Linked DNA regions of Notamacropus eugenii. The protein of the gene in region 3 interacts with the protein of the main gene of each other region in a biochemical or structural test. Links are inferred from orthologs where the notes say so. Each region holds a gene or a part of one and is shown on either strand. Other genes may lie near its edges. The genes, in order: ERBB4, DOK1, ABL1 and ATM.

What was found.
Region 1: the proteins of ABL1 (region 3) and ERBB4 form a complex in vitro, tested with the Homo sapiens proteins (2 studies listed by BioGRID and IntAct, with this or other methods). The link is inferred for Notamacropus eugenii from reciprocal best matches to the Homo sapiens genes ABL1 and ERBB4.
Region 2: the proteins of ABL1 (region 3) and DOK1 form a complex in vitro, tested with the Homo sapiens proteins (5 studies listed by BioGRID, with this or other methods). The link is inferred for Notamacropus eugenii from reciprocal best matches to the Homo sapiens genes ABL1 and DOK1.
Region 4: of the proteins of ABL1 (region 3) and ATM, one has a biochemical effect on the other in vitro, tested with the Homo sapiens proteins (3 studies listed by BioGRID and IntAct, with this or other methods). The link is inferred for Notamacropus eugenii from reciprocal best matches to the Homo sapiens genes ABL1 and ATM.

Annotation. Positions count from the first base shown.
Region 1 is NC_092877.1:310,178,202-310,185,094, reverse strand, and holds the start of ERBB4 (receptor tyrosine-protein kinase erbB-4), read left to right. Parts: upstream 1-3,884; 5' UTR 3,885-4,667; coding exon 4,668-4,749; intron 4,750-6,893. UniProt on the Homo sapiens protein: Tyrosine-protein kinase that plays an essential role as cell surface receptor for neuregulins and EGF family members and regulates development of the heart, the central nervous system and the mammary gland, gene transcription, cell proliferation, differentiation, migration and apoptosis.
Region 2 is NC_092877.1:46,851,221-46,858,422, forward strand, and holds the start of DOK1 (docking protein 1), read left to right. Parts: upstream 1-4,251; coding exon 4,252-4,326; intron 4,327-5,119; coding exon 5,120-5,419; intron 5,420-5,573; coding exon 5,574-5,667; intron 5,668-5,920; coding exon 5,921-6,105; intron 6,106-6,293; coding exon 6,294-7,085; 3' UTR 7,086-7,202. Other genes in the region: LOXL3 (lysyl oxidase homolog 3), read right to left, coding at 1,310-1,628. UniProt on the Homo sapiens protein: DOK proteins are enzymatically inert adaptor or scaffolding proteins. They provide a docking platform for the assembly of multimolecular signaling complexes. DOK1 appears to be a negative regulator of the insulin signaling pathway.
Region 3 is NC_092872.1:482,395,649-482,402,564, forward strand, and holds the start of ABL1 (tyrosine-protein kinase ABL1), read left to right. Parts: upstream 1-3,902; coding exon 3,903-4,038; intron 4,039-6,916. Other genes in the region: uncharacterized protein, read left to right, coding at 3,090-3,221. UniProt on the Homo sapiens protein: Non-receptor tyrosine-protein kinase that plays a role in many key processes linked to cell growth and survival such as cytoskeleton remodeling in response to extracellular stimuli, cell motility and adhesion, receptor endocytosis, autophagy, DNA damage response and apoptosis.
Region 4 is NC_092876.1:146,774,880-146,782,018, forward strand, and holds the start of ATM (serine-protein kinase ATM), read right to left. Parts: upstream 3,008-7,139; 5' UTR 2,857-3,007; exon of another isoform or gene 2,748-2,856; intron 1-2,747.

The DNA.
Region 1 (6,893 bases), on a different chromosome or scaffold from region 3:
CCCCTCCCCTTTGTCTGAATCCAATTTACTTCTCCTGCCATATCATTTACCACTCCCTTTCCCATAATCTATTCTCTAGCTAAATTGGATTTTTCAGCTTGTGTCCTGTGTTTTCAAGCTATCGTTCCATGACCCCCACTATCTCCTAACTTGGAATGTTTTCCCTTCCATTTTTGCCTATTGACATTTTACCAACACTTCAAAGTCCAGTTTAAATGTCACTTTCTCCAAGAGTCCTTTCCTGATACCCTACCATGTAGGTAGAACTTCTTCTACTGGTATCTCTTAGAGCATTTTGAATCTCTTTTATATTTTATCTGTCTCTACTTTGTATTGTATTTATTTGAGTATAACATACACACATATACGTACATGTATACATATATGTATATGTCTTATCATTTCCTATTATGTTATAAATTTCTTAGGGTTAGGGGTTTTGTCTTATTCATCTTTGAATCTCTTTTAACCCAGGCACAGTGACTTACATGTGGTACACACTTAATATGGGAGACGGAAATGGCAAACCACTTCAATATCCTTGCCAAGAAAATCCCACAGATAATATGGTCCACCAGGTCATGGAGAGCTGTACTTGACTGAATGACTGAAAAACAACAATGCACTCAATACATTTCAATGAACAAATGAATCTAGTACAAAGTCATCTCTGAGGATTATCACTTAGGTTAGGAGAAACAGGAAAACTTGAGAACAGTCATGTCTGATACATGACATCAGAGAGGAAGAAACAACTTGGGAAAGGATTATTGGGTCATTTTTCTCTCCACTTTCTCCTCACCAAGACATGAGTACCAATTTCACCTTCCTCCAGTAGGGGGAGGGTTTTGTCCCCAGTTTCCATCACCACGAACTTCAGGGCTGGAAAGTGACCTGCATGAACTCTGCCTTGCTTTTCTTCTATATCACCCCAAGACCATTGTACCTATGTACACAGGAAGATGGACAAGATTTTTAATCAGCAAATAAGAACTGAACATCTATATGTTATGGCTGCTCTAGAGTCTTCAAAAGAAGTAAAAAATGTATAGGATATAGTTTGTACTACTCAGAAATTTCCAAACTGGAGAGTAGGAATCAGAATAAAACTGAAATGATTAGATAACAATACAGGACTGAATATAATTAAAGGCTAATGTAGTACAGATTGTAAAGCTTAAAGACCCAGTCTACGTGAGCTAGTGTGGTGTAATAAGAATAATAAAAAACGGAGACAACAAGTAGCATTTCTGTAGTGCTTTTAAGATTTGCAAAGTGAAAAGCATGTCAGTTCTTCTGAAGTCCACAAAAACCCTGTGAGGTAGGTACTATTATTATCCCCATTTACAGGTGAGGAAACTGAGACCCAGAGAGGTTCAGCACCTTGCCCCAAAAGAATCCTGCACTTAGCATTAGATGTCTTGACTTTGGGACTCTTTGTGTTACTGTGGAAAAGTCAATTAACCTCCCTGAATCTCAGTTTCCTCATTTTTTAAAAAAGAGAATGATAATATTTTCTTAAGATGTTGTGATGAAAGTGTTTTATAATCTTCAAAGAACTATAGAAACAAGCAATTTTTTTGAGGCAGCTGTGGTATGCTAGAAGAGCATCAAATTCTGGATTCACAAATGGTTTCGAATCCCAGCCCTGCTACCCACAAGCCCCATCTACTTGAACAAGTCACATATCTTGGCAGAACCTTGGTTTCATCTGTAAAATCAGGGTGACAGTGACTGCACTAATATCTCATTGGGCTGCAGTGAGGTTCAAAACTTGACTTTGTAAGGCATAAATAAATCACTATGGGAATGTGACTTGATATTGTTACTTATTATTATTCATCAAAAGAGGAAAGAATGTTGGAAGAGAAGAAAGTAGCTGAAAAAAAAAAAAAGAAGAGAGGGGCAGACAAAAATTGGAACAAAAATGACAGCCGAAAAGGCAGCTTACACAGTCCCATTGCAATCAGTGCCTCTGATTGCTCCTATCTAATATCCAGTCTGAGAGGTTGCTTTACCTGTGCCGGTTTACCAGGGTCCCTTTCATCTCTCTCAAGCTGTATTCATTTAAAGTCCTGGGGATCGGAGGTTGACTCAGAAACTAACAGTAGCAGCAGCAACAACAACACAACAACACAGCAATCCCCCTTCCAAAGTACTGCCACTTGTACACGCAAGGCAGTAAAATCTTCCAGCTCTATAAAGGGTCTCTGGGGTATTTATTCCATATTTATTTGACCCAAGCCTCTGCTGATGTTCTTAAGTGACAAAGCCTAGGAAAGAAAGGGGAAGTACTTCAGGTGAAATAAGAAACGGAGTTGGCAGGGGGGGGGGGGGGGCATGGTGGTGTTGACTCCAGCAGTTCTTGCTTCTCGCTGCTGTTACTTTCAAGGAAAACCAACAGTGAAAATATTTTTATCTCAGGGATAATTGTACAAATATCACCATATCACCTTTCAAACTTGAGAGTCAGGTTGACCCAGCTCATGTGGGGTCAAGTACTGGCCACTGATTGAATTCACTACCACAATAAATAAAGGACCCTTGAGGAATTAGGTTGATCCTGGAGTGGACCTTGGTAGTTAGTTTATTTCCAAGATGGGCTTCTTGTGCAAATGGATCTTTTGGATGAGTCATTGGATATGTGTGAGACTCAATTCTGTATTGACCAAATTACTTGAAGACATGAGTGATGTAGGCTGACTACCATTTGGGATTGAAAGGCACTCTCTGGACTTGAAATCACACTCTGGATTACCTTCAAATTGGCATAGCGAGCCACGGAAAGTGGATCTATAAAGTTAAAAGATTCATAAAATTTCAGGGCTGGCCCAGTTCCCTCATTTTATAGACCAGGAGGTCAAAACTAAGAGTAGCTAAGTGACTTATCCAAGGTCATAAAGTTATCTAATGGCCAAGCCAGGAGATAACTCCATTTTTCTTTTTTTGCCTGAAAAATACCCTTCCCATTCTGCCATAGTTATTTCCCTAGTTGGAGTAGATGAGATCTTCTCACTGTCCCAGAATAATTTCCTTGAATTGGCTGCATTTATGCCTCTATCTCAGTTCTTCAGCCAGAACTCAATGTGGAAAAGTTTCTAGGGGCGGAGGCCTGCTCTCTGGGAGTGTGAAGGATAAAAGGATGATGACTGGATATTAGCAAGTGATACCTGGCATTGTTCTCTTGGATTGTGGTCAGAGCTATGGTTCTAGCTCACAGCTTGCTCCTTTCCGGAGCCTCGGAGCCATGGTTAAATGATAGAGAAGGACTCGCCAGTGTGAGAGGAGGAGGATTTTTTCCCTTTCTTGTAAGCAAGACTTTTTTATTCTGCCAAGACTCCTTTCTCTTGGTCTCACCTCTTTGGAAAGAGGGCTATGTGTGCTAGCCCTTGAATTATTATTATTTTTGAGCGGAGTGAAGTTGAGGAAGGGGGAGACACAACTTATTTTTTTTTCCTTCTGAGAATCCCTTTTTGCAGTCTGCTTTTGAGCTTTGGCCTTGTTTCTCTTTCTGGGGAAGAGGGAGAGGCAAGGCAGCGTCCCTTCAGACCACCATGGGGGCAATCGGGGCCTTTTCCCCATCTAAGCACCCCCTCTGGGCATACTGCCCAGCACTGCCTGCCAGCTGTCCTGGGACTCTGGCTGGGGCGGGGGGGGGCGACGGGGGGGTGGAGAAGCGGGGGGCGGGAAGAGGAGTGTCTTAACCTCACAGTTGGCACTAGCCCTTTAAGACCAGCTCCCCTCCCCCGCCCACGCCACCCCTTTCATTCTCCTGACAGGTGTTCTCCCAACTCTGGAGGCTCAGGATTTTGGGGAGTGGCTGAGCCAATGAGATTTTAGATTTGGGGAGGGGGGGTGGAATGGGAGAAGGGGTGTGGCTAGCTGGGTCAGAGCAGAGGCGGGGTTTAAGCCACCAAGCTGTGTCTGTCTCTCAGTCCCTCGTTCCGTGGAGGGTTTTCCTTTCTCACAACGCCCCCCCCTCCCATACTCCCCTCTCCCCAATCCCGCTTCCATTTTTTTTTTTTTTTTTGGAGTCTTGCTAATTTCTCCAAGCTGCTGTTACCGCTGCGGCCGCTGCCTCTGCGAAAGAAGGGGGAGCGCTGGAATCGACGCTCGGAGGCTTTAACTCCTACAGCCGCTGGACAAGTCTGAGGAGCCCGGAGCGGGGGTGAGGAGGGGACGGCCGGAGCCGTGGGAGACGCCAGGGGCTCTCCTCCAGCCTCCCCCGACTCACACCGGGGGTGTGCACAGGGAGCACCAAAGGAGGAGAGAGCAGTGCTTGCAAGAGAGCGAAAAGCAGGAAATCTACCACCTTGGTGAGAGCAACTTTTTTTCTTCTCTCTTTTTATTGTTGACCAACCCGAAGGAGCGAGTGCAAGACAGAGGACGATCACTGGGGGAAATCTACTCACAGTTGGACCTCAACTGGGACCGGCAGCAGCGCTGACACACAACACGCGCACCCTCATTCACCTCCATTCCTGGAATAGCCGGCGCGCACAGATACACACACACACACACACACACACACACAAATACACTGTGCACCTCTCTTTCTCTCTTCCCAGTACCCACTCTCGCCCATCCACATCCATCTGAGGGATACAATAAGGGGATATGCGATTTGGACATGTAATTGTCGGCAAAGGATTTGAGACTTCCAAAAAATGAAGCTGGCTTCGAGACTGTGGGTCTGTGTGAGCCTTCTCGTGGTAGCCTGGACCCCCCAGCCCGGAGCTTCTCAGTCAGGTGGGTCGCAGTCTCTGCTTTCTATCGCTCTCCCTCCAGCTGTGGAACCTGCTGCTGTCTGGATGATTTGTGTTTGTGGTCTCCCCTCCCTCCCACTTCCCGCCTCTATTGATAGATCGTTTCCAGTCTCGGAGAAGCTGATCCGAATTTGTTTCATCGCCGCCCCCTGCATCATTTCCACCTCCAACTTGCTTGGTTTTGCTCTCCTTCTAGTGCGTGCGTGGAAATCACTATGTAACCCCTTTCTCCTCCGTCTCTCTCCCTCACCTCCCCCCCCCCCCACCCCAGTCTCTTCTTTTTCGCTCTGTGGGTTAGCAGAAGGCTTAGTTCTTTCAGCCTGCTTGTCTAAGACGTAGAAGACGCACACGGAAAATCCCAATCAGCGCAGACAATTCCCCTTTTTTTCCACCTCTCCTGCCTCTCCACCCCTCCGTCCCCGAAAGAAAAGAGACGGAGTAAATAGGACTTTTTGGCTGTTCCGCGGCGCGAAAAAGAAAAAGGATCGATCATTGCCTTGCTCCTTCTGTGGAGCTCCTGGCCTTTTGATTCCAAAGCGCCTCATGTGTCTATGTCCGTGTGCGCTTTTGTACCTGCGTGGGGGAGAGAAGCAGGAATAGGGCTCTGACACAAGTCACCCGAGTGTTGACATAGCCAAGATTTCAGACATAGTCCGGAGACAGTCACAGCATACAGCTGCTACCAGAAAAGCATCGTTTTCTTAACACCACCCGCTTTCCTGTTTTGACCAGAAGCTGATCTCTTAAAACTCACAATCCATCTAGATCCCTTTTCTTTAACAGCCCCCGGTAGGGTCGAGAGAGTGTCTGGTAGAGGGTCTAGCAGCCAAAGGGCTTGGCAAACTTTATTCACGAGAATAACAGCCGCACTCTGTGAGGTTAGACGCCCATCAGAGTTCCTCCTGCTAGTGTCTACTATTGGCCAGGGTCCCTCAAACTTCCCTGTTAGAATTGGGGCTGGTCGGATAGCTCGCCCATCACTTGATCCTTTCTAATCCGAGGCGAATCGGGCACCACGGTGCGCTAGCTGTTGGCTGGGCTGCTTAGCCTCAGGTAGCAGGACGCACGAATGTAACTGAACAGAAAAGGAGGAGGGGTCGGGGGAGAGCTTAGTGGCAGGGTCTTTGACAGGACGTGTCGTGCGAGTGAGCTAAAAGTTTCTGACACTTGAGCTTCCCAGATGATAGGAATGGGAACGAGGAGATGGCTGATCAGGGGACTGAGTGTAGCCAAAAGGAAAGAGAGATGTCTGAGATGGCCAGAGGGTGCCATTTGGACAGCCGGTGCTGTTTCCTGATCTGGCAGCAAGTGATCACACCAGAGATACTTGATGTAGCGTGGGAGGCTGGCTGACAAGATAAAGCTTCAGGGGTAGGAAGAAGGGGAGGGGTTAAGGAGAATGCTTTAGGGACGCCTATGGTGTCCTTGTGACCTTAAGCAGAAAAGACGCCGCTTAGTTTTCTTACTCCCTACGCCAGCTATCTCTCCTCCCTCTCCTCTCCACTCCAGCCTTCTCCTTCCCTCTTCTTCAAGCAAACACCCAGTTATCATCACTGGGGCTTTAAAAATGATACTAGAATTCCTGGTCTTTGCCTTTTATATGCTGTGTTAAGTACTGCCAAAGCCTGCCTTCAGATCAGCCTCGGAATCACCCCAGTGCGGCTTGCAGATTTCAAGGCAGCCTCCTGGCCACTGGCCTTTCGTCTTCGTCCCACGATCCTCTCCATATTTTCCTCAATGAGTTGATTATGCAGGTTGACCCATTCAAAAGCACTTGAGGCTGACATATATGCTTAGCTGATAGGAATTTCTATGAGGCAGCCTAGTGGGGGTTTGTCTGGTTCAGCCTCAGCCATGGGGACCGCCTCGGAGTCTACAGCAATTTGGTATTAAGTGTGCGGCTCAGGGGTTGAGCTCTTCCTCAAAGCTCTTTTCAGAATTTCTGTAAGGAATGTAATCCAAATTAGTTCTGCAGCTGTCCTCTTCCTCATCGCAGTGCACAGCACTTCTACTCCCCCCCCCCCCCCCCCCCCCAGCCTTTGGCGAATTGTCATAACCCAAAGTGAGTTCTTTCTGGAGTGTGAGGCTTTGAGTCCCATTGTTATTCGGGCGGTGACTATGCACTTG
Region 2 (7,202 bases), on a different chromosome or scaffold from region 3:
ACCTGCGTTTTCCAGACTCCACATCCAATCCTGCCTCTCACATAGCACAGAAATGTCAAGGTAGAAGAGAACTGAGCAAAGGCTTTTGGGGTCTGGCAATGAAAAGGTCACTGGTGATGACCTTGGAGAGACTCACTAAGTAGTTGTGGGGATAGAAGTCAGATTTAAGTGGGCTGAGCAAGAGGAGGTCCAGAAGTTGTGCAATTAAGGGAAGGAGAGAGATATAGGACCATGCTTTGAGAAGAGGGGCATGATAAAGGGAGAGTTGTTTGTTTTTAGGGTTACAGGAGACCTAAGTACTGGAAAAGCAGAGGTATCATTGGGGGGTGGGGTAGGGAATGGAGGGCAGTTGAAGATATTCATGGCCAGCAGCCTCTGAAATTGGAATAGGTTATAGGATGAAATTGGGGCTCATCTAAATAATTTTCCAACAATCAGAACAGTCTAGCAACGTGATGGGCTGCCTCATGCCACAGTGAGTTTCCTGTCCACAGGAATGTTCAAGAAGCAGCAGCATAACCACTTGTTAAGGATTCTAGATTATTTCCATGTCCTGATAAGTAAGCCTTCTCTTTCCCTAGGATCATAAACCTAGAATTCAAAGAAACTTCAGAGGTCAAACCATCTACTCCAACCTTATTCTACATATAGGGAAAGTGAGGTCCAAGGAGGTTGCGCTTTGCTCATAAGAGGTGGAATCTGACTCTAGAATAATGTTCTCTAGCCTGAGTACTATGTTCCTTCAATTCCCAGTTTCTCTTTATTGTGTATGTTTCTTTTTTCCTCTAGATGTGCTTATCAATATCCTCAAGTGTGGTGCCCAGAACTGGACACAGTATACCAAGGAAGGTCTGACCAGAGCAGAGGTCAAGGGTACTAATGCCTCCTTCCTCATTCTGGGCACTCCGCCTCTATTGACGCTGCCTTCAGTCACTTGACCTTTTTTGCTTGACATATAGAACTTGCACTCAGTCCACTAAATCCCGAAGATTCTCAATTTAAGAATAGTTTATCTGTTCATGCCTGTTGGGGAAGTGCAGTTGATTTTTTGAACCATTCCTGACTTTACATATGTATTTATTGCATTTCAATATATTAGATTTGGTCCAATCATATATTTTTTTAGATTTGGACTTTGTCAATATAGTAACTCAATGATCAATCATCTCCTTCCTCCCCTGCCTCCAATACTTCTGATTTTGTATCGCCTGCAGACTATATCTTTTTCCATGTTTTTCTGAACTTCCACCCTCAGCCGGACTTGGTGCCTTTTCCCTGTTCCGTGGCCTTTCTTGGTGCTTGTTCTCACCTGTGCCTGGGCCATACTTGGCACTGTGGGCCCACCCCGTGGCTTCGGTAAAGCCCAGCTCCCGGCACAGCACATGAGCTGCTTGCAGTGTGAAGTCATCATCACAGATGGTACCCCACTCGCCAGCCCGTTGTATTTCCACACGGCCCTCATAGTGCTTCCGAGGAAAACCAGCTAGGCGGAATCGAAGCTTGCTACCAGTGCTCGATGCAGGGCTTGGGGATGGAGAGGGGGTTCCCAGGCACCAGGTACATAACATGCATAGAAGCAGTCCCCGAAGGCCCCACTGCTGGCCCCCGGCGACCTGTGTGTCAGACATGGTCTAAGAGAAATAGAAACCCAGACTTTAGTGATAGCAAGATGGTGACAGAGACAGAGTGACAATATGGTAGAGATGGAGACCTGAATTAAGAGAATGAGAGACAAAAACACCTTTGATGACACACAGAGACATAGAGACACAGTAAGGCAGAGAGACAGGTGAGGGAGGGAAGGAAGGAGATAACCTGTGAACTCAACAGATGAAGAATGACAGACTGATTAGGAGACACAGCATGAAAGTGATGTAAGAATGGTAAACAGAAGTCAATGAGATAGGTTTCTGTTGAATCTTGATTGAGGAGGAGGAATAGTGGTTAAGAAAGCAGCCCTTTATGCTCAGAGCTGGGAAGTAAACGCAAGCTCATCAGAGCATGTGCAAGAGAGGCTCAGAGAAACACAATTCACACTATGTTACACACACACACATGCACACACACACGCGCGCGCGCACACACACACACACACACACACACACACACAGAGTCCCAGGCAGGCACACATAATTTTAGCTGCATGGATCACACACAGCTGCCCACACCAGAAGTCATAAGCCTCTATGTTGATAGTGACACAGGAAACAAGGTCCTGGATGATGCCACTTTGACAGTCACACACTGAGGCTCCTTGGTTACCTGTCCCAGGGGAACACGGGGACCCAGAGGGACCAGGGTTGAGGGATGGGGCGGAGCAGTGGGAGCCACTGGGAGAGAGGGAGGGAAGGAAAAGGAGGGAGCGTGAAGGTCCAAGCGGTTACTGAGGCAACAGAGACTAGGCCAGAGAGACAGGCCCAATCCCTGGGGGGATGGGATAGGAACAGCTGACTTTGGGGTTTGGCATCTCTATCCCCTGCAAAGGAGCCTTTGGTGGGAGCAAACTGGACCCTGCCCTATCCCCCCTCCCCACCCCCACCCCAGCTCTAGCCTTCTCCTCTACTCTCCCTCCAGTCCTCTATGGAAACTTTGACTTTTCTGGGCCAGACTCCCAGCAGACTCTTGTCCTCTTTTTCCCTTTCCACCCTGCTGGCCTCCTACCCTGTCCGACCCTCAGACACGGTTCTCATCCCCTCCCTTGGCTGCCACACTCTCTGCCCCCTGCCAGGCTGGACCCCTTTCTGTCTCTCCCACTTCCCCTGCACTGGTCATCAAACGACTCTTTCACAGAACCGGGAACTGGCCGATGACAGAAAGTATAAAACAACTTCAAGTGTCGGTTATCTTCACCCCCACAAGCCCCCTATACCCTGTGTCCCCCATCCTATGTTCACCCCGATCTTTCCCGTCTCCAGCACCCTCCTGTTCGTTTCTTCATCCTTATTACCTGGGTCCCCCTATTTCCTACACCCTCCTATATCCCCTATTACTGTTACCCACACACTCCTAGTTGTCCTACACCCAACTCTCTACTCCCATTTTCCTCACATTTTCCTTGTAAATCCCATTCCCCGCTGGCCCCTGGCCCCCCATCCTCCAGTGCTCCCACTTCTTTCCCAGTGACCATCATCCATCCCTCCACCCTCCCAGCCCCCCTCATTCCTCATTCCCCTGCTTGTCTGCTCTGTTCCCCTCTCCCCAAGCGCCCGTACCTCTGCGCTGGAAGTTGCGTCCGAAGGAATGGGATGGGGGAAGCCAGTCCCGGCCTCAGAGCCTAACCCAGGGACTTCCAAGAAAGTGCCGGGCTCTGGGAGACTGGACGCCCCTCCCTCAATCCCTCCCACCGTTCCACTCTGTCTGTCCCTCCCCCTCCCTGGCCAGGCAGGCCCCAGCCTCGCCTCCTCCCCTCCGCCCCTGGCCTCTCGGCTCAATGAGGCTTTCTTCCCCCGCTGGCTGAGGCTGGAGGACACCCGGGGGCCCGTGTTGGGCGAAGCCCCTGGCTTGGAACTTGGAGAAGCCTGTGTTCATTTCTCGAACTTCACCCCTTTGCCCATCCCCCAAGGCCCCTGCCTTCTTCCACCCCTCACCCCCTGAGGTTTCGGTGGAGTGTGGGCTGGCTTGGACCCTGAACACGTGTGTGTGTGTGTGTGTGTGTGTGTGTGTGTGTGTGTGTGTGTGTGTGTGTGTGTGTGTGTGTGTGTGTGTGTCTGTCTGTCTGTCTGTCTGCACGGACTGCGTGCGCGCTGCGCCTGCGGAGCCTGACACACGCCTGGGTCTGACTTGCGGACGATGGAGGGGAAGCTCTGCGAGGCAGCGGAGCTGTCCTCGCCGTCCCGGGCCGGGAACCTGCCCCGAGGGAGCCTCCCTGCTGGGGCTCGAGCCTGCGGTGCAGAGGCGTGGTGCCCCGGGTCTTGCACCCAGTAGGCACCGCAGGAGGAGGAGGCTGAGCGTGTGCTGACTGTGCCGGGCGTGCGTGTGGGGAGGCAGGGTGGGTCTCCCGAGTCCTCCCACTTCTTTCCTTTCCGGGCGTCGGGGCCGGCCGGCCGCAGGAATGTTGGCCGCCCCGGCGGCTCCCGTCCAGTCCCCGTCTCCGGGTCCCGCAGGAAGCCCGGAGGCCGGCTCGGGCACTCGGGGCGGGGAGCTGGGGGTTCGGGATGGGGGTGATCCCTCCCCCCAGCCCCGCCCCGCCCCGCGGGCCCCGCCCCGCCCCCGCCCCGCAGCGCCAGGAAGCGTCCGGAGCCGCCTGGGGCCATGGACGGCGCCGCCATGGACGGGGCTGCCATGGAGGGACCGCTCTTCGTGCAGAGTCAGCGCTTCGGGGCCAAGGTGGCGGCAGGGGCAGGGGCGGGGGCCGCGGGGCGGCGGCCTGCGGGGAGCCCCTGGGCTGGGAGCGGGAGGGCCGCAGCGGGGCCCGAGGCTGGTCCCGGAGAAGTTTCTCCCCAAACTCCGGAGGAAGTGCCAGCCCCACCACGCTTCCTCTAGCCTCGGCGGGACGGAAATGCGCCCACCCCCACCAGGGAGCTCCGCCTCCTTTAGGAAACCCCACCTCTCCCAGGATTGGGGGGCGGCTGGGGCAGGGCTCGGATCCTCAGCTCCTGGCCTGGGGTCTTTGCGGGAGGCCTCCCTCCGAAGTTGGAGACCTGTGCCAGTCATGGCCCCTGTCATTGCCCTCAGCCCTCCCGCCCCCCCACCTTCTGTATGGGGTTCCCTTGCCTGCCCCCGTAGAGGAAGGGTGATGCAGGGCGAGCCTGCATGTTCAGCCCGTCTCGTCCCTTCATTTCTCTCTCATTTCCTGGTTTTCCCTGCGTGTTCACGTATCTCTTCACCAGGGTTTCTGCCCAAACGGGTAGGAAGATGAGGCTGCTGTGTTATACGGAGAGCCAGTTCCCCTAACTTCCCTCTCCTTCAGTATGTCCACATCCCTTTTTCCCAGGGCCTTCCCGTAGTATTTCCTTGTATCTCTTCCTCTCCGTGATCTCTGTACGCTGACCTCCACCCTCCCTCGTCCCAAAGGTAGAGCTAAGTCCCGGGCATCCCATGACCCTCCTCCGTACCTTCCCCATGCTCTCCTCTTCCCAAATGGCTTCTCAAAGCATTCCCCACGTTCTCCCCACTATAGAAGTGGAAGAAGGCCTGGGCAGCCTTGTACCCCTCCAGTGCCAGCGGAGTTGCCCGGCTTGAGTTCTTTGAGCACAAAGGGTCAGGCTCTGGAGGCGGGTGGGGAGGCTCTCGCCGCCTAGACTGCCGAGTGATTCGTTTGTCGGACTGCGTGAGTGTGGCCCCGGTGGCCTTGGACAGCCCCCCAGGACCTGGCACATCGGTCTTCCGACTGGACACTGCTCAGCGCTCCCATTTCCTGGCAGCTGAGGGCCCTGCCAGTGTTGCCTGGGTGCAAATGCTCTGCCAGACTGCCTTTCCGGTGAGAGGGTTGAATGATTGGGGATGCTGTCTAGGGGAGTCCATTTGGTGAGGGAGCAGGTTCAAGGTCGGAGTCAGTGTCTCCTCCCCCCCACTCCCCAACTTGATTGGACTCAGACCCCAGGTGGAAAACACTGATGCTTTCTCCCCTGCAGAAAGGCTGCTGGTCTCTGGCTCCTGGTGAAAGCTCTTCGGGGCCCTCTTCAATGGAGATGCAGGAGAACTCCCTGTACAGCCCCCATGGGCAAGGTAGGGGTAAAAGGAGAAAGGGATGGGGAGAGGGAGGTCCAGGGACATGAGAAGAGAGGGCATACCATGGGTCTGGAATAGGGATTCCACAGCCCTCACATGGGGCTGAAGGTCACCTGGAGGATTGGGGGGAGGGGGCGTGAAGCTCTTGTGGGTCTGGTGTCTAGGTATGATCCAGTCCCTGTTAGGACCTGAGTGTCTTTCCCCTTTTCCATCTGGGAATGTTTCAGTGTGACCCTTCCTCTCTCCCCAGGGTCTGAGTTCTGGGTGACTGTACAGAAAACAGAGGCATCTGAGCATTGTGGGCTGCAGGGACACTACCTGCTCAGGGTGGAGGCCAATGGTCTGAGTCTGCTGGTGCTGGGGGGGCAGGGTCAGAAGAAGGAGCCCCTGCTCACCTGGCCCTATACTCTTCTCCGTCGATATGGCCGGGATCGGGTAAGGGCTTGGGATGGGTCAGAGGTGCCACTATAGAAGGAAGCAGAGGATATACAGAGGGGAAGGCTAGGAGTGTGTGGTGGGTCCCCTAAGGCCCAAGAGCTGACTGCTGCTAGGATGACCTCAGGTAAGCCTCTTCTCTCCTGTGCATAAGTTTGCTCACCTCTGCCCTCTTCGTCTGCCTCCAGGCCATGTTCTCCTTCGAGGCTGGACGGAGATGCCCCTCAGGCCCTGGAACCTTCACTTTCCATACTTCACAAGGGAATGACATCTTTCAGGCTGTGGAGGCTGCCATCCAAAGGCAAAAGGTTCAAGCTGGCATTGTTTCTGGAACCGGCGCAGGCCTGGATCAGCAGTGGCCTGGCTCATCAGAGGTGGGGACAGCAGGGGCTGCCTCCCAGGGCCTTGAAGATCCCCACGCTCATGGCCCTGCCCTCTACTCAGAGCCCTTGGATGCCCTTCGGTCGCTGCCTGACTCCACTTCAGACCCCTTGTACTCAGATCCTGTGGACAGTTCAGGCCAGAGGACAGGACATGGGGCTGGAGGAGGCTCCCCCCTCTACTGGGGCTTGTTTGAACAGGTGCAGCAGCAGCTTAAAGATACAAGGCTGGGAAGAGTCAAGAAGGAGCCTATTTATGATGAGCCTGAGGGCCAGAGCCCAGCCCCGGCTCCAGGCCTCTATGACAAGCCCCAGGAGCCCAGGGATGCCTGGTGCCAGCGAGCCCGGGTTCGGGAGGAGGGCTACGAGCTCCCCTATAACCCTGCTATGGACGACTATGCTGTGCCCCCTCCAAGGAACCTCAAGCCCATTCCACCCCCCAAGCCCCAAATGCTCCCCCGGTCTAACAGCCCCAGCAGTCTCGCACTCCCAGTGTACAGCCGGGTACAGAAGGGTGCTACTGCCAAGGGCTGGGGCCAGGGCATGCCTGAAGGGGGATCTCAAAGCAGGACTGGGATGAAATCAGAAGGGCCAATGTAAAGACCTGGGTGAGGCTTGGAGGGCCTACGTGGGTGCTGGGGAGATGAGTGATCCCCCCGAGAAAGGGGAGGCCTATTTGAGGCTAAAGGGTATCAGTGAATCAAGGTCCAGACCTCA
Region 3 (6,916 bases):
GGAAAATTCTAATAAAATTTTTTGGCTCTCCATACCAGAGAAGAAGTATGAATTTTTTCTTTTATGGGGTGTTTATAGTACCTTATTATAAAATTTGGGTTGATATTATATAATACTATACATGTATTTTATGCATTTTGAGTTTCTAAACTTTTTCTGTGTCATTCTGCCGGCCTTGTGTCATCTGCAGCTTCAGCAAAACTCCCCCCAAATTCCCATTTAATTTCTTATGTTGACTTATATCAAAACCTCGATGGGGAAAGTCGTGATGTAGAAGGGATAACAATACCTGGGAAAAAACATGAGTGCTTTTCAATTGCATTCTATGTCATCCCAGAATATATTCTGAACTAAAAGTCTGTCTTTTTGTTTCATAGTCACTGACCATCCTTAATCTACATGTTATGCTTTTCTTAAAAATTAAGATGCCCCTTGACGTTCTTAAAGATTTTGGACTAAACCTGCTGAACAAGCAAAACTAGAAACCCAATTAATTACCCTAGATATTTTGCAGATTAACTTGTAAAATGGAATTTGAAGGGAAGTTAAGTAGTGTAGTAGATTTGAAGTCAGAAGATGTGACTCCAAAGCCCAGATTTCCTTTTTTATTATCTGTGTGACCTTGAGCAAGTCTAACTTCAGGCCTCAGTTTTCTCCTCTACATGAAGGTGGTGAATGAGATAACGAAGTGCCTTTCCAGCTTTCAATCCTGTGATGTGTCCATGGTTAGTTAGAGTTGAAGGTTCTTCTGCTCCTTCCCCATGCCCCATGTAAACCTGAGAAACATCAGAATTTTACAACTGGAAGGAGCTTTTCAATATGGAAGAGAGCTCAGGAGATCATTTAGAGCAGCCCAGTCATTTTACAAATGGGGAAACAGGCGAGTGAAAGAAATGACATTAAATAACCATTTATCAAGTGCCTGCTGTGTGCCAAGCATTTGCATCCTACTAATGGGAAGCAGTTTTTACATAGATACGTATTACATCTATACAAAACAATTACAAAGTTGGTGGGGGTTGTTGTTTTGTTTTGGATAGGAGAGTAAGAACTGGGGAGGTCAGGAAGAGCCCTGTAGGAAGTAGCCCTTGAGCTCTGCCCTTCTGAAGGAGCCTGGTAGGAATGCCACGAGGTGAAGGAGGAAGGAGAGAGCGTACTGGACACCGGGTACATCTTGGGCAAAGCCCCGGACTGACCATCCCTCCTGTGGACGTTTCAAAGGGCTCTAGGTGGCGGAGATGGGGCCAGGAAAGGATGACCCCCCTCCCCCATCTTGAATTGCCTCCCACCTCTTCGACCCTTTCGACCTGCACAAGGTCATAAAGCAGTTAGGTGACTTTGTCCTCAGGTGTGATCTCTCACCTGCGTGCTCTAATATTTGTCGTATAAACCACCTAACATCTGTAAATAAGGAAAAAAACTCCAGTACGAGCCTGTGTGTTTCTTATTGGGTCAACAAACATATCATAGTTTTCCTTCCACAGCCCCAGTGCTTCAGTTCTTGAATAGGAAGCCACAAAGGCTGGAAAGGAACAGACGTAGCTACATGGCTAGTGGCAGACGCGTGGCGTACAGGTGGATCCCCTAGGTATCTCAGGGAAGAAACCCTACTCCAGCCCTGAGAAAATCCCGTCCGTAGTTTGTGTTTCGCTCTACATCCGCCTGCTAGGGCACTCTCGCTGGGAGGACTCGTGCCTGCTCTCCAAGGGGCCTGGGATCCCGCAGAATCCCTAGAGGGAGGGACTGAAGAACCGGTTGGAAGAAGAGTGCACAAGTCTCAGATGGCCTAGCGGACGGGAGGGAGTCACGGAAAAACTACAGCTCCCGGCGGCCTTCAGGACGGTACCCAAGGCGATTGGCTAACAACTTCAGCACTAACAGGTTCACCAGCCAATGGAGAAGGAAGCTTTGTCCCGACCTGATTTGTCCGAGACCAATAAAAACAGGCGGGCGTTTCCTTCTTGCTTGGAAGAAAAAAAACGACCAAAAAACGGTGCGGTTTTAATTGTTCCTGTCTAAACTCGTCGAGACACCAGGATTGGGACTCGAAAATGTGGCTTACTCATATAAAGGAGAACGTCCATTAAAAGAACTAACACTCCTCCCCAGCTCCCCAGCCCCCGCGCTCAAAACGACTCCCCTGGGGCGTGCGCCCCGCCCCACTCTTCTCTCCTCCTACTGCTTCCGCTACGTCCCGTACGTGCCTGCGGCGGGCGGGGCCAAGAGGGGCGGGGCGCGGGGAGCCCGGGGCGGGGCTCAGCCTCGTTGTGGAGCGGGTTGTAATCCATCATGGCGGCCGAGGGGGTTGGTGTCTTTCCCTGAGCAGCAGCGCCGGAGCCGGTGGCCGTGTACCCGCAGCTAAGGCGCCCCCTGCCCGGCCCCCGGCCTCCGCCCCCGCCGCTGCAGCCCCGCGCCCCAGCTGGGAGGGGGAGAGACAGAGAGAGAGAGGCAGAGTGAGGCAGGCAGAAGGGGAGGCAGGTTGGCAGGGAGGGAGCGGGCGGACGCTCGGGAGCTCCGGGATATGATTGACTGACCATTGGCTGGGGTGGGGGACCCGAGGGAGGAAGGACCGTCGGGCCGGGGGCGGCGGGTGTCTCCGGGCCGAGTTTCTTACTTCTCCACCTCGAGGACTGGGCAGCTCCTCCCCTCCCCCCTCCCCGCCTGCCCCACGGGCATCTCGGTGACTCCTTCCGGACCCTGGCTTTTGGGGTGTCGGGGGAGGCAGGACTCTCCAGCAGGGTCGTACCCTCTGCCCGGAGCTCCTCCGCCGATTGCTCCCCTGCGGGAGACGGTTGTGAGCGAGAGAACCAGCCTTCTTCCTTCCCCCGCCGACCCCTCTGCTCCCCCATACTCTCTCCTGTTCCACTCCTTTTTTTCAAAGGTTCCCCAACTCTGCCACTCATCTCTCTCCCCTTCCCCCCTTCTGTCCCTTCCCCAATAGGCTGCCAAGTTTTCCTTTCTGTCCCAGGTTCAGCTTCTCTCCCGTGCCACCCATTCAAACACTCTTCCTCATCCCTTTGCTTTCCTTTCCTCCCTCTCTCCCTTCCCCCTCCAGTCTTGCCAACCTCCAATGCCCTTAGTCTTTTTCTATGTCACCAAAGGCCTTAGTAGGCTCTGGACTGCCCCAGACTTTAATGCAAAGGAAAAGCCTGGGTTGGTTCCACAGGCCCTTTAAAAAAGCTGACTTAAAATTGCTGGCAATGCATTCCTGGAGTGACTGACTGCTCGTGTAAATCTACTTGTGAAGTCTGGGTGACCCAGCTCAGTTTTCCGGAGAGAAGTAGCAGCCAGATTGGCAGGAAATCGGTCAAAGATGAAGAAACCGAGATAGGGTTTGGGCGACTTCCACAGGAAAAGTTTCAGAGCCGGTATCCAGATCCTTCTGTCAAAGACCATTCCTGATTTTTTTCTGAGAAGTAGAGACCCAGAAACAGCTACACTTTTGTCTTTGTTTTGAAATCTAAAATGACATTGGCATACCTGACCCTTTTAGACTTAAGTAATAGTCCATGCAAATACTTTATTCTCAAGAGGAATGCAAAAATTGCAGTGGGAAAAGTACATTCCTTGTGAATATATTTTTAAATGGCTTCACTTTTGGAAAGAAACTAATTCCTGTTCAAGTAAAAGACGTCCAAATCAATTGACACTGATAACATTATAGTTGTATCGTTCAAACTGATAAAAAACTGTAAAATTGGAGCTCCTCTTTGCCTGAGCGGACTAAGAAGCATTTTTTACACTTGGTTTTGGGAGAATTCTCTTGTGATTGACTTCAGTAAGTGATCTCTCTGGAATGTGAATGTGAAACCCAAATTATACTATTGTCATTCTAAGCTATTGGACCAGTCTGGAAGATCTGAAACCCTCTTTTTCTGGGAAAGGTTGTCTATAGTTCCTTTATGGGGCAGCAGCCTGGAAAAGTCCTTGGGGACCAGAGAAGGCCAAGTTTGCCTGCCCTGCACTTTATCAAAGGAGCAGGGAAGAAGGAATCATCAAGGCATGGGGGTCCACACTGCAATGTTTTTGTGGAACATGGTAAGTGCTTATTAGTATTGCTTAAATTAATGTTTATCATATAGACTTCGCTAGGATGCTAGAATTAGAGCACAACAGATTTTTCTGATTCAGACATCCCATTTGAAAATTTAGAAAGCTAGCATATATTTTCCTTTTAGGTGGCTCTTAGACTCCCTTTGTATGAGAAAAAATTTCTTTATGATTTAATGTTATGCAAAATCTCATGGTTTTATTTATTTTCTACCCTTGCTCTTCAGATAGCTTGCTGTGTCACATTGGGCAAATAATTTCTCCCAAATATGGGCCGCAATTTCTTTTTGTAAAATGAGAGGATTGTACTAAATGATTGCTAAGGTCTAGTTCATTTTTTATGAATCTATGATTCATTGATAATTGAATACCAATAAATTGGTAATTGATAATTGCACATGTTACTTACAGGTGCTTATTAAATGCTGGTTGAATGAACAGACAAATATAAATTCTTTTATCTAACATGAGTGCCAATCGTTTTCCCTTAATAATATTTTTCTGATTTTTCAGTGTGTTTGAAATGACATTTATGAAAAGTTGTCATTGGAATTTTTAATGTATTGTAATTTTGTTGTCCTACTGTCTGTGTGGACTTACAGTTTGCTTCTAGTAAGCCTTTTTGGTTAAGTCAAGGCAAACAATCAACTTAGACTGATACTTCTCAGCAGGGAACAGTTATTTAACTTATGAACTCAGGGTTCTGTTCATAATTCTGTTATGAGGAATAGTATTTGTGAGGTCTTGTGACGATGTAGGCTATCATTATTAAAATATTTAGTGATGCTGGGCCCTAGTCATCAAATTCTTAAAGTGTTTTAAGTAATATGTTTGTAAAGTTCAAGTAAGGATCCAAGTTACCAAGTGGGAATAATAACTTCAGTGTATTGAACTTTTTAAACTGGTAACTGCCCGTGACTATTGAAATGTAAACATGACCCAGATTAATGAAGTTGTTAGTATTTCCCTGGGGGCCATTTAGTCCAAGGACCTTTTTAGCCAAGATGTATTCAAGGTGAAGAAAAAGAGATGAAAATAAGCTAATCTTGTGAGTACTGAAAATTTTTTAGCTGCATGGTATGATTCAGTGAGTGGTGAATTTGGAGTCTAAGGACCTTGGTTCAAATCCCAATGTTATCTTGTTAGTCATTTAAACTCTCTGGGTCTCAGATTTCTCATTGTAATGTTAAGGATATTAATATGACTTCAAATCTTCAATCTGTAACCTAATTAGAAACTTGAATTTTAATTCTTCTTAAGATTCTTGAAAAAGCCCTGAAATCAAATTAAATTTTAGTTCAGTTGACAGACAAATTTGATGATGTTTAAAATAATTGCTCATTATGATTTCTCTCTCATCCTCTGTACCATCTCCCTCCCTTTAAAAGTTCATTTTAAAATACATTGGTAACAAGTGATAACAAAGTGAATCACTTTGTTAGATCACCTATTTTTTAAAATATGTACTTTTTTCAATTGACAAAAATCCTCCTCTCCCTCTCCCCTCCTCTCCCCAGGTTGAGAAAGAAAGAAGAGTAACTAAGGAAAACAACTTGACTATACATGTTATAAACATCTGTAGTCAAGCAAAACAAATTTCCACATTGGCCATGTCTCTCTCTCTCTCTCTCTCTCTCTCTCTCTCTCTCTCTCTCTCTCTCTCTCTCTCTCTATCTCTCTCTATCTCTCTCTCTCTCTCTCTCTATCTCTCTCTCTGTCATTCTGCACTCTGAATCCATCACCTCTTTGTTAAGGAGGTGGAGAGCATGTTTCATCATGAGTCCTCTGGAAGTCATAGTTGGTCATTCTGTTGGTTAGAGTTCCTAGTCTTTCAAAGTTCTTTGTCTTTACAGTATTGTCTTCACTGTTAAACTGTTGTCTTAGTTCTGCCTATTCCTTCTGCTTCAGTTCTTGCAAGTTTTCCCAGGTTTCTATGAAACTATCTCTTTTATTATTTCTTAGAACACACTGGTAACCCATTTTGATTACGGACTCAATACAGTTTCTAAGGCTGAGTTGAAACAGAGTATGGATTGATTCTCTGCTGTTTGTGCTAATTTTGGCCTAACAATTTACACCAAGAAAACAGGCTCTCCACCAGCCAGCATCACACCATCCATCCATGGAACAATTGAATATAGCAGATGGAGAAATTTTGAATGCTGTGGATAAGTTCACTTTACCTTGGCACTATACTTTCCAGGGATGTACACATAGATGATGAGGTTGACACACCCATTGCCAGAGCTAGCTGTGTACTTGGAAGGTTCTGAAGGAAAGTGTTGGGGAGAAGAGGTATTAGACTGCCTGTCAGACTGAAGGTCTGCTGAACCGTTGTGCTGACCTCATTGTTGTATGCCTGTGAAACTGGGATGGCCTGTTGACACCATGCCAGGAAACTGAATTGCTTCTGTTTGAATTGTCTTAGGAAGATTCTGAAGATCACCTGACAAGATAAGGTACCAGACACTGAGGTCCTTTCTTAAGCTGAGCTTCTAAGCATTCAAACTCTACTGCAGAGTTGGCTGGTCATATTGTTTGAATGCCAAACCCATGTTTGCCTAAAAGACTGTTTTATGGAGAACTCACACGAGTCAAGTGCTCATATGAAGGTGAGAAGTGATGCAAGGACACTTTCAAGGTCTCTCTGAAGAACTTTGGAATCCATTGTGAGATGGAGATGCTGTCACAGAACTGCCCAACGTAGTGTGCTCACATCAAAGAATGTGCTGGGCACTTTGAAGCAAAATTGCAGTAGTTCAAAAGAAATGTGAGATGTTCATGTGGACTATTTGTGCCCGTCCTGTGGTGGAGCCTTCCAAGCTCATATTGGTCTGATCAGCCACAGTTGGGCACACTGTATCTT
Region 4 (7,139 bases), on a different chromosome or scaffold from region 3:
CTGACTTCCTTATACTTTTTTGGCCCTGTTACACATTACTACTTTTCTAGCATTCTACACTCCATCTCCTGTCCTCATCTCTTTGCCCTGGCTGAACTCCAAGCCTTGCATTCACTCCTTTTTCATCTCTAGCTCAGAATCCCTTATTTCATTCAAAACTCCACCGAGGCACCAATTTCTACATGAAGCTTTTCCTGATTTCCCTCCTCCAACTACCACCTTGTATTTATTTTGTATATGTTTACTTACATGTAGATATGTTTACGTAGTATTTCTCACAGAATATAAGCTCTTTGAGGGTAGAGTGTGTTTCAATTATGTCTTTGCATTCTCAGTATAGTCTAGCCCCAGTGTCTGGCACACAGAAGGAGATTAATAAATACTGATTGATGAACCATTTGCAAATCACACTCCCCCCAATCTCAAGTTTTCTCATTGATAAAATGAGGATAACACTTGCACTACCTACGTTACAAGATTGTTTCCAGGTCTACAAAGTCCTTTCCTTATAGAAGTACATGAATGTGTTATTATAAAAAAAAAAAATTAATATCCTACATGTAACAGCTTTTCCAATATTTTAAAAGGTCCATAAAGTCCTACCTATTATTTTTCAGGAAAACCCTTCCCATTCTTTTTACCTATTTCCTCTTAAAATAAAAAACTGAAATCTGAAGAAATGAATTAAAATAATGGGCCCACCACTAAATAGTTATGTGACTTCTGAACTTCAGTTCCCCATACATAAAATGGGGATAATGATCATTTCATTATCTAGATCAAAAGGTCTTGGGAAAAGTTTAGTAAATCTTTAAATGTTAGTTATTTATGATTCATATTGAGTAAGCCCAAAGTCCAAGGATAATCACCTCTGATTTGCATAGAAAGCCACAGTCACAAGGGACCCCTGGCTCCTGCCCTGGGGTCTTATTGATTAATGAGAGGTCATTACATCAGGCTCACCCCAGTCACTCCACCAAGACAACTTTTTGCCCAAGTGATTGCATAGGACACTCCCCCTCACTACTACCTTCCTGCCCTCCTCCCCTTCCCCACCCCCTCTCTCCCCTATTTCCACTTCTAGCTCTGGGAAAAGTAAACCTAACAGAACTACCATTATAACTACTTCTGCAAAATCAATTGCCCTAAGGCTCTACTCCCCTTTGACTTTACTCTTTCCTGGCTGCCACCCTATATGTGAGGATTCCCTCATTAGAACATAAGCTCCAAGAGGACAGGGTCTGTCTCCCTTTTGCATCTGATTCCCATGGATTAGCATACAGCTTGGCACATAAGGAGTTTAATGAATGTATTTTCATTTATTCACTGAAAAGTAGAGCTGAACTTCCTAAGAATTTTGGCTTAAAATTCTAGAAGACTAACAATACACCAAAAAATGAGCAAACATAACATCTAGGTATCTTGGTATAAAAACTTAACACTTGTTAACCCTGACTAAATGAACAGTCATGGCAGCTTTGTTAACTCTTAAAAACAAAACTAGAGAGCTCACACAGGTTAACCACAGTTAATGCTAAAAATAAAGTAAAATAAAACCGAAGAGCTAACAGTGGTTATAAGCAAATTGTTTTCCTTACTCTGTTGGAGATTTCCTGTTGGAGGAGGAAACTAGACATACATGTGGCAGGGTCCCCTCTATTAGGGGACACTCCCCCCTTCATGTGGACAAATCTCAATACAAACGACCAATGGCTTCGCAGTAAGCTGTAGCCCTAACAATGGAGAGGTAACAGCAATGAGATAAATTTGATTCGCAGCAGGTCTGTTCAAAAAAATAAAAAGCTTTTATGCCAAGTTCAGGGCACAACTTGCTTGTTGAGCCCTACCTCTGGAAAACAGGTTGTCTCCTAATAGTAAAAAGAGAGAGGATCCTGACATACTCCAATGGGCATAGAAGGCCATGAAGTGGATAGAGTACGGAGCCTTTAATCTGCAAGATCTGAGTTCAAATCCAGCTGCATTACGCTCCGAAAGTCACTTAGCCTGGGGGCCTCAACTTTCTCACCTGTAAAACGGGGACGCCAATAGCGCCTCCCGGGATGGTCGTGAGTCAGATATGATCACCGTAAAGCCCTTAGCACACGCCTGGCACGTGGTGTTCTACAAACGTTCGCTGCCATTACTAACCCCGGTCTAGCCGTAGACAAAGCGCTTAACCTCCCCAGGTTTCCATGATCCCATCTAAGGTTCCTTCACAGCCGGACTCTTACGGATCGTGACTGGCAACTGCTTAACTCCCTGTAATTAATACTCGGTATTTCGGAAAGTGCCCCTCCCTCACTTCCCGGAGAGAGGAGGAGGAGGAGGTACCCAAGGTAACGGGTCACATGGGGGGCACCCGCTTCAGCCAGGTAGACCAGGTGTCCAGGATTCCACGGTTGTTCCAGCTCGGTGCTGAATGGTATGGGCAGGTGGGGGAAGCAAAGACAAACAGAAGCCACCCAGAGTCAAGAGAGGAGGATGGGGAAAAGAGAGATTGAAATGCCGGCGCTCGCCTTCAGGGCTGCAGGGGAAAGGGGAAGAGCGGAAGGGGTGATGCGCCTCCCTCCCCGCCCCCTCCCTGGGGATTTAAAGCGCTCCGCCCCGGGGTCCAGGCCCGGGGAAGTGGGGTATCCCCGGGCGGTGGTGGCCGGAGCGGACAAGGGGAAAGGGCGCCCAGATCCGCGAATGCCGAAGCAGAATCCCAAAGCCCACGGAAGCGGGACGCGCTCTCCCTCGCCCCCTACCGCAGGGCTCCGAAGGCCGCAGCCTCCAGAGGGAAGGCCGTCTGGGTCCTCTCTCCTCCTTCCAGCCTGTTCTCCCCACAGGCAGACCGCTCACAAGCTCCACACTCACGCGACAGCTCTCACTTCCGGGTTTAAACAACCCTCAGTGCGCAGGCTCCTTCCATGGCGGGAGAATCCGGGGAGATCGTAGCCTTCGTGGCTCCCTCTGCGCAAGCGTACCACTAATCCTCTCCTTTCCCCGCCCCTTTCTCCTAGGCAGCGGTACGCTAATAGGGCGCGACGTTTTAATAGAATGACCATTCTCCCTCAAGCCCCTTATTAAGATGCGCTGCGCAGGCGTGTAACCACCCAAGCTCCATTTCCTGCCCCGCCTTCCTCATTCCTGAGCGGAAATGATGTTCCTGTCAGTCAGGGTTGGGGCGGGGCGCGTTTCCGCGCCTTTCTTTCTTCCTAGGAGCGATTGGCTACAGAGGACCCAGGGGGCGGGACGAGTTGCCTCGGGTTCGGTGCAGCAGCTGACGCCGCCGCAGGGACCGAGAGATGCGGTCTCGGTGTTGCTACGCGGAAGGTTTTTGAGACGTGCCTGGGGTCTCAGAGTCCTTCTAGAGGCCTGATCATGCTGTTACCGTCCGACGTCGCCCGGCTAGTGTTGGGTGAGTGGAGCCTCGGGGCGAGCCGAGCTGGTCTGCGGCTCTGCGGCTTACCTTTGGGGAGGTGGGGTGGGCGGAGGAGACTGCCTCCCAGCCCAACCGGCGACCGGCTTCTCCTTAGCCCTGGGGGCGAAGGCAGCCCCAGGCCCCTTGGGTCGAGTAGCGCGGCTCCCCTGCCACGGGTGCCCGAGGAAGCAGACGCTCATCCCGACGGGAGGCGAGGCGGGAAGGTGAGGGCTCGGCCTCGGGGAGGACCCTGACGTGGGGGAGGAGATGGCTCTTCCCTGCCTGCCCTCAGTTATCCGCGTCAGGGCCGGGGCTGGGCGGCCTTGGAGCGGGGCGAGCACAGGCCAGGGCCTCCTGGGGGGAGCGCCTCCTGGGGGGAGCGCCTGCCGAGTCCTCAACGTCGCGTTCCGAGCCGCGGGCTTGGGAGCCCCTTCGGGAGGCTTTGGGCCGGCTCGGGCCCACGGCCTCTCGGGCGCTGCTCCACGTTTTAGAGGCACCACCGTTATATTTTTGCAGTTTTCTGGCGAGGAGAAAAGGCAGATTGGGCCTTCGTTTCCAGCCCTCCATTTGGATGACTCGGTTCCTTCCATTGTCCAGCTTGTGTTGCCGTGGTGGGGTGGGCCATTCCAGTTTGGTGGCTCAGTTTGTGTGTGTGTGTGTGTGTGTGTGTTTATATTCTCTGAAAATGTATCCACAGTTGTGTTGCTAAGGCTTGAGCCGCATATATTTTCAGAATCTGGGCCTGTGACAGAGACTTGACATATTTTTAAACTGGTTTTTAAACTAATATTGTATGGGGTTTTTGATAAGATGCGGTGTTTTCGGGGCATTTTCACTGGCTGCCCTTCATACCTGGAATTCTCTCCCTCATCTCTGCCTCCCGACTTCCTTTGAGACCTGGCGAAAAATCTCACTTCCTTTAATGCCTGTTCTTTGTTGGTTATGTCCAGTTCGTCCTGTATATAGGTCGTTGCACATTGGTATTTGCATGTTTTCTTTTTATAGATGTTCTAGATGCCTCTGTAGTAATCCTTCCTTGAATTTTGCCAAACTGAAGCTTACTGGTCTACGCTTTGAAAACATACCTTTTTGAACGTTATGACAGTATTTGTGCTCCATTCCTGTGGCACCTTCCTTTTCTCTATAATCTTTCAGAGATCCTGACAATGTCTCAGGTATCATAGCTACTGCTTTTAGTATCATAGGAAATAGTTTATCTGGACCAAGTGACTTAAACTCAAGTAGGGTAGCTAGGTGCTTTCTTAGTACTTCCCTATTCATCCTACTTCTGCTAAAAAAAGAAAAAACAACTGGAGAGATGCAAGGTAGACAGTGATACAGTTGGGTGATTGAGAATTGCTGAAATGTCCATAGTCAGAGTAATCTTTATTGGTTTGAGGTCTTCTTGGAAGTCCTTGGTAGGGTGTCCCTGGGATCTGTCCTTTGTTCTTCTTTGCTCATGTAAAAGTTTTTGTCGGTGACTTGGATGAGGTCTTTGATAGCATGCTTATCAGAGTTTCAGATAATACAAAGCTGGGAGGGATAGCTAACTCTTTGGATAACAGAATAAAGACCCCAGAATCCTGATAACCTTGGCCAACTCTAATGAAATGAAATTGACTAGGGTAAATGTAAATAAACTCTTTACTTATCTCAAAAAAAATCACTTTCACCCATGCAAAATGCAGGGGGCATGATTAGGCCAAATTTGGCCTGAAAAAGAGCTGAGATTTTAGTGAACTATGAGCTCAATATGTATCTATTGTGTGATAAAGGCACCAAAAAAAGTTAATGTGATCTTGGGTCAACATGGATATGCATAGCTTTCAGGAATACTTTCCCTACTCATACCACATCTAGAGTAATGTCTTTGATTATGAGGGCCAGAGTTCAGAAGGGACACTGATGAATTGAAGAGTGTCCAAAGAATGATGATGACCAGGATAGTGAAGGGACTTGAGTCCGTGCCATATAGAGATCAGTTTAGGTGAATTAGGAGATGAGAGGTTTAGAACACAATTCTCTTTGTGTCCAAGCAGCAGAATTAAGAACAGTGGGCAGAAATTGCAAAGTGGCACATTTAGACTTGATACCAGGTGGGAAAACTTATTAACAATTATAGTTTTCTCTGAAAATGATGGGTTCCCTGTCATTGAATGTCTTTAAACAGACTGGACAACCATTTGTTGAACGTATTGTAGCAAGGATTCCTTTTTAGATACAGATTAAAATAGTGACTGCTGAGGTCCCGTCAAACTCTAAAATCCTATGATTTGTTGAATGTATTGGGAGCCTTCAAAATCTCTGTAGCAGGGTGGAGGGCAGGTCTTGCTCTCCCAGTCTCACCCAGCCTGGAAGTGCAGCAGCTAGCTACTCATGGGCCCAGTCCTACCACAGATCAGCACAAGAGTTTAGACTCGTTCTGTTTCCAACCTGGGTCATTTCACCTCTCCATTGGCATTCTGCTTCCCTGTAAGGATCCATTTTGGTGTTGTACTTAGTAAGGACAACTGATCAGTCTTAGCACACCGTAACTCAGAACTCATGAATTTAAGCAATCTACTAACTTCAGCCTCCTCAGTAGCAGACAGGCACCACCACTCCTAGCTAGATCTCTTGAAATTGTGTGGGTACTAATGGAGCATACATGCTGTCCTTCAATTATCTTGTTCCTCTTGCCCTATGGGTGAATGACCCGTATTCTCTTTTAGCCATACTTTTTATGCTTTTCTTTCTGTGCATTTCTTCTTTGATAATATGTTGCAGACTTATTTTCACTCACCATTAAATTGTCCACTGCATAGTCATCCACAGCTTTGTCAACTAGGAACAGAAGAATAAAAATGAGAAAATATCAATAAGTATTTTGGCTTACTGTGTGCCAATCACTATATCCAGACATTGGGGATGCAAGTACAAAGAATGAAACATTCCTTACCTGTCCCTACTCTGAATCAGATTACATTCTAATGGGACACGCTGTGTGTGTGTGTGTGGAGGGGGGAAGAGGACAAAGACCGAGAGAGGGAGAACACTTAAGTGCGAAGATATAAAATGAATAAATGAATATATCCAAAGTAGTTTGGGAAGGAGGACGCTGGCTATTGGGAGGAAATGCTTCATACAGAAGATGGTGCTTGAGCCACATCTTAAAGGAAGACACTGCTAGTATAAAGGCAGGGAGATGAGACCATTTGTGAGGAAGGGGTCTGTTTGACTTATTTGCAAAGTGTGAGAGGAATTGTAATTTCCACTGAAACTGGAAAAACAAGTTGTGGCCAATGTGTATGAGGCTTTAAAAGCTAAACAGGTTTATATTTGATCCTAGAGACTCTAAAAAGCCACTAGATTTGATCGAGGAGTCACACAGTCAAATCTGCTTCAGGAAAATTAATTTGGCAGTAGTGTGTGGAGTGGAGAAAGACTAGAGGCAGGAGAACACTTAAGCAACAAGAGATGATGAAGGCTTGAATAAGTTAGTGCCTGTGTGAGTGGAGAGAAGGGATGAGATTGGAGTGCTATTGCAAAGGTAGAAATAGCAAGATTTGGCTACTGCTTGAGTATGTAGGGTGAGAAAGAGCGAATGAGGAGTTCAAAACAATGTTAAGATTACAAACCTCAGAAATTGAAAGGAAAGATGCTTTCCACAGAAACTGGGAAACTTTCCTAATGAGTTGAGTTTTAGATTCCATGTTGATTTTGAGATGTCTCTGGGCCAGTTGGTTTGAAATATCAA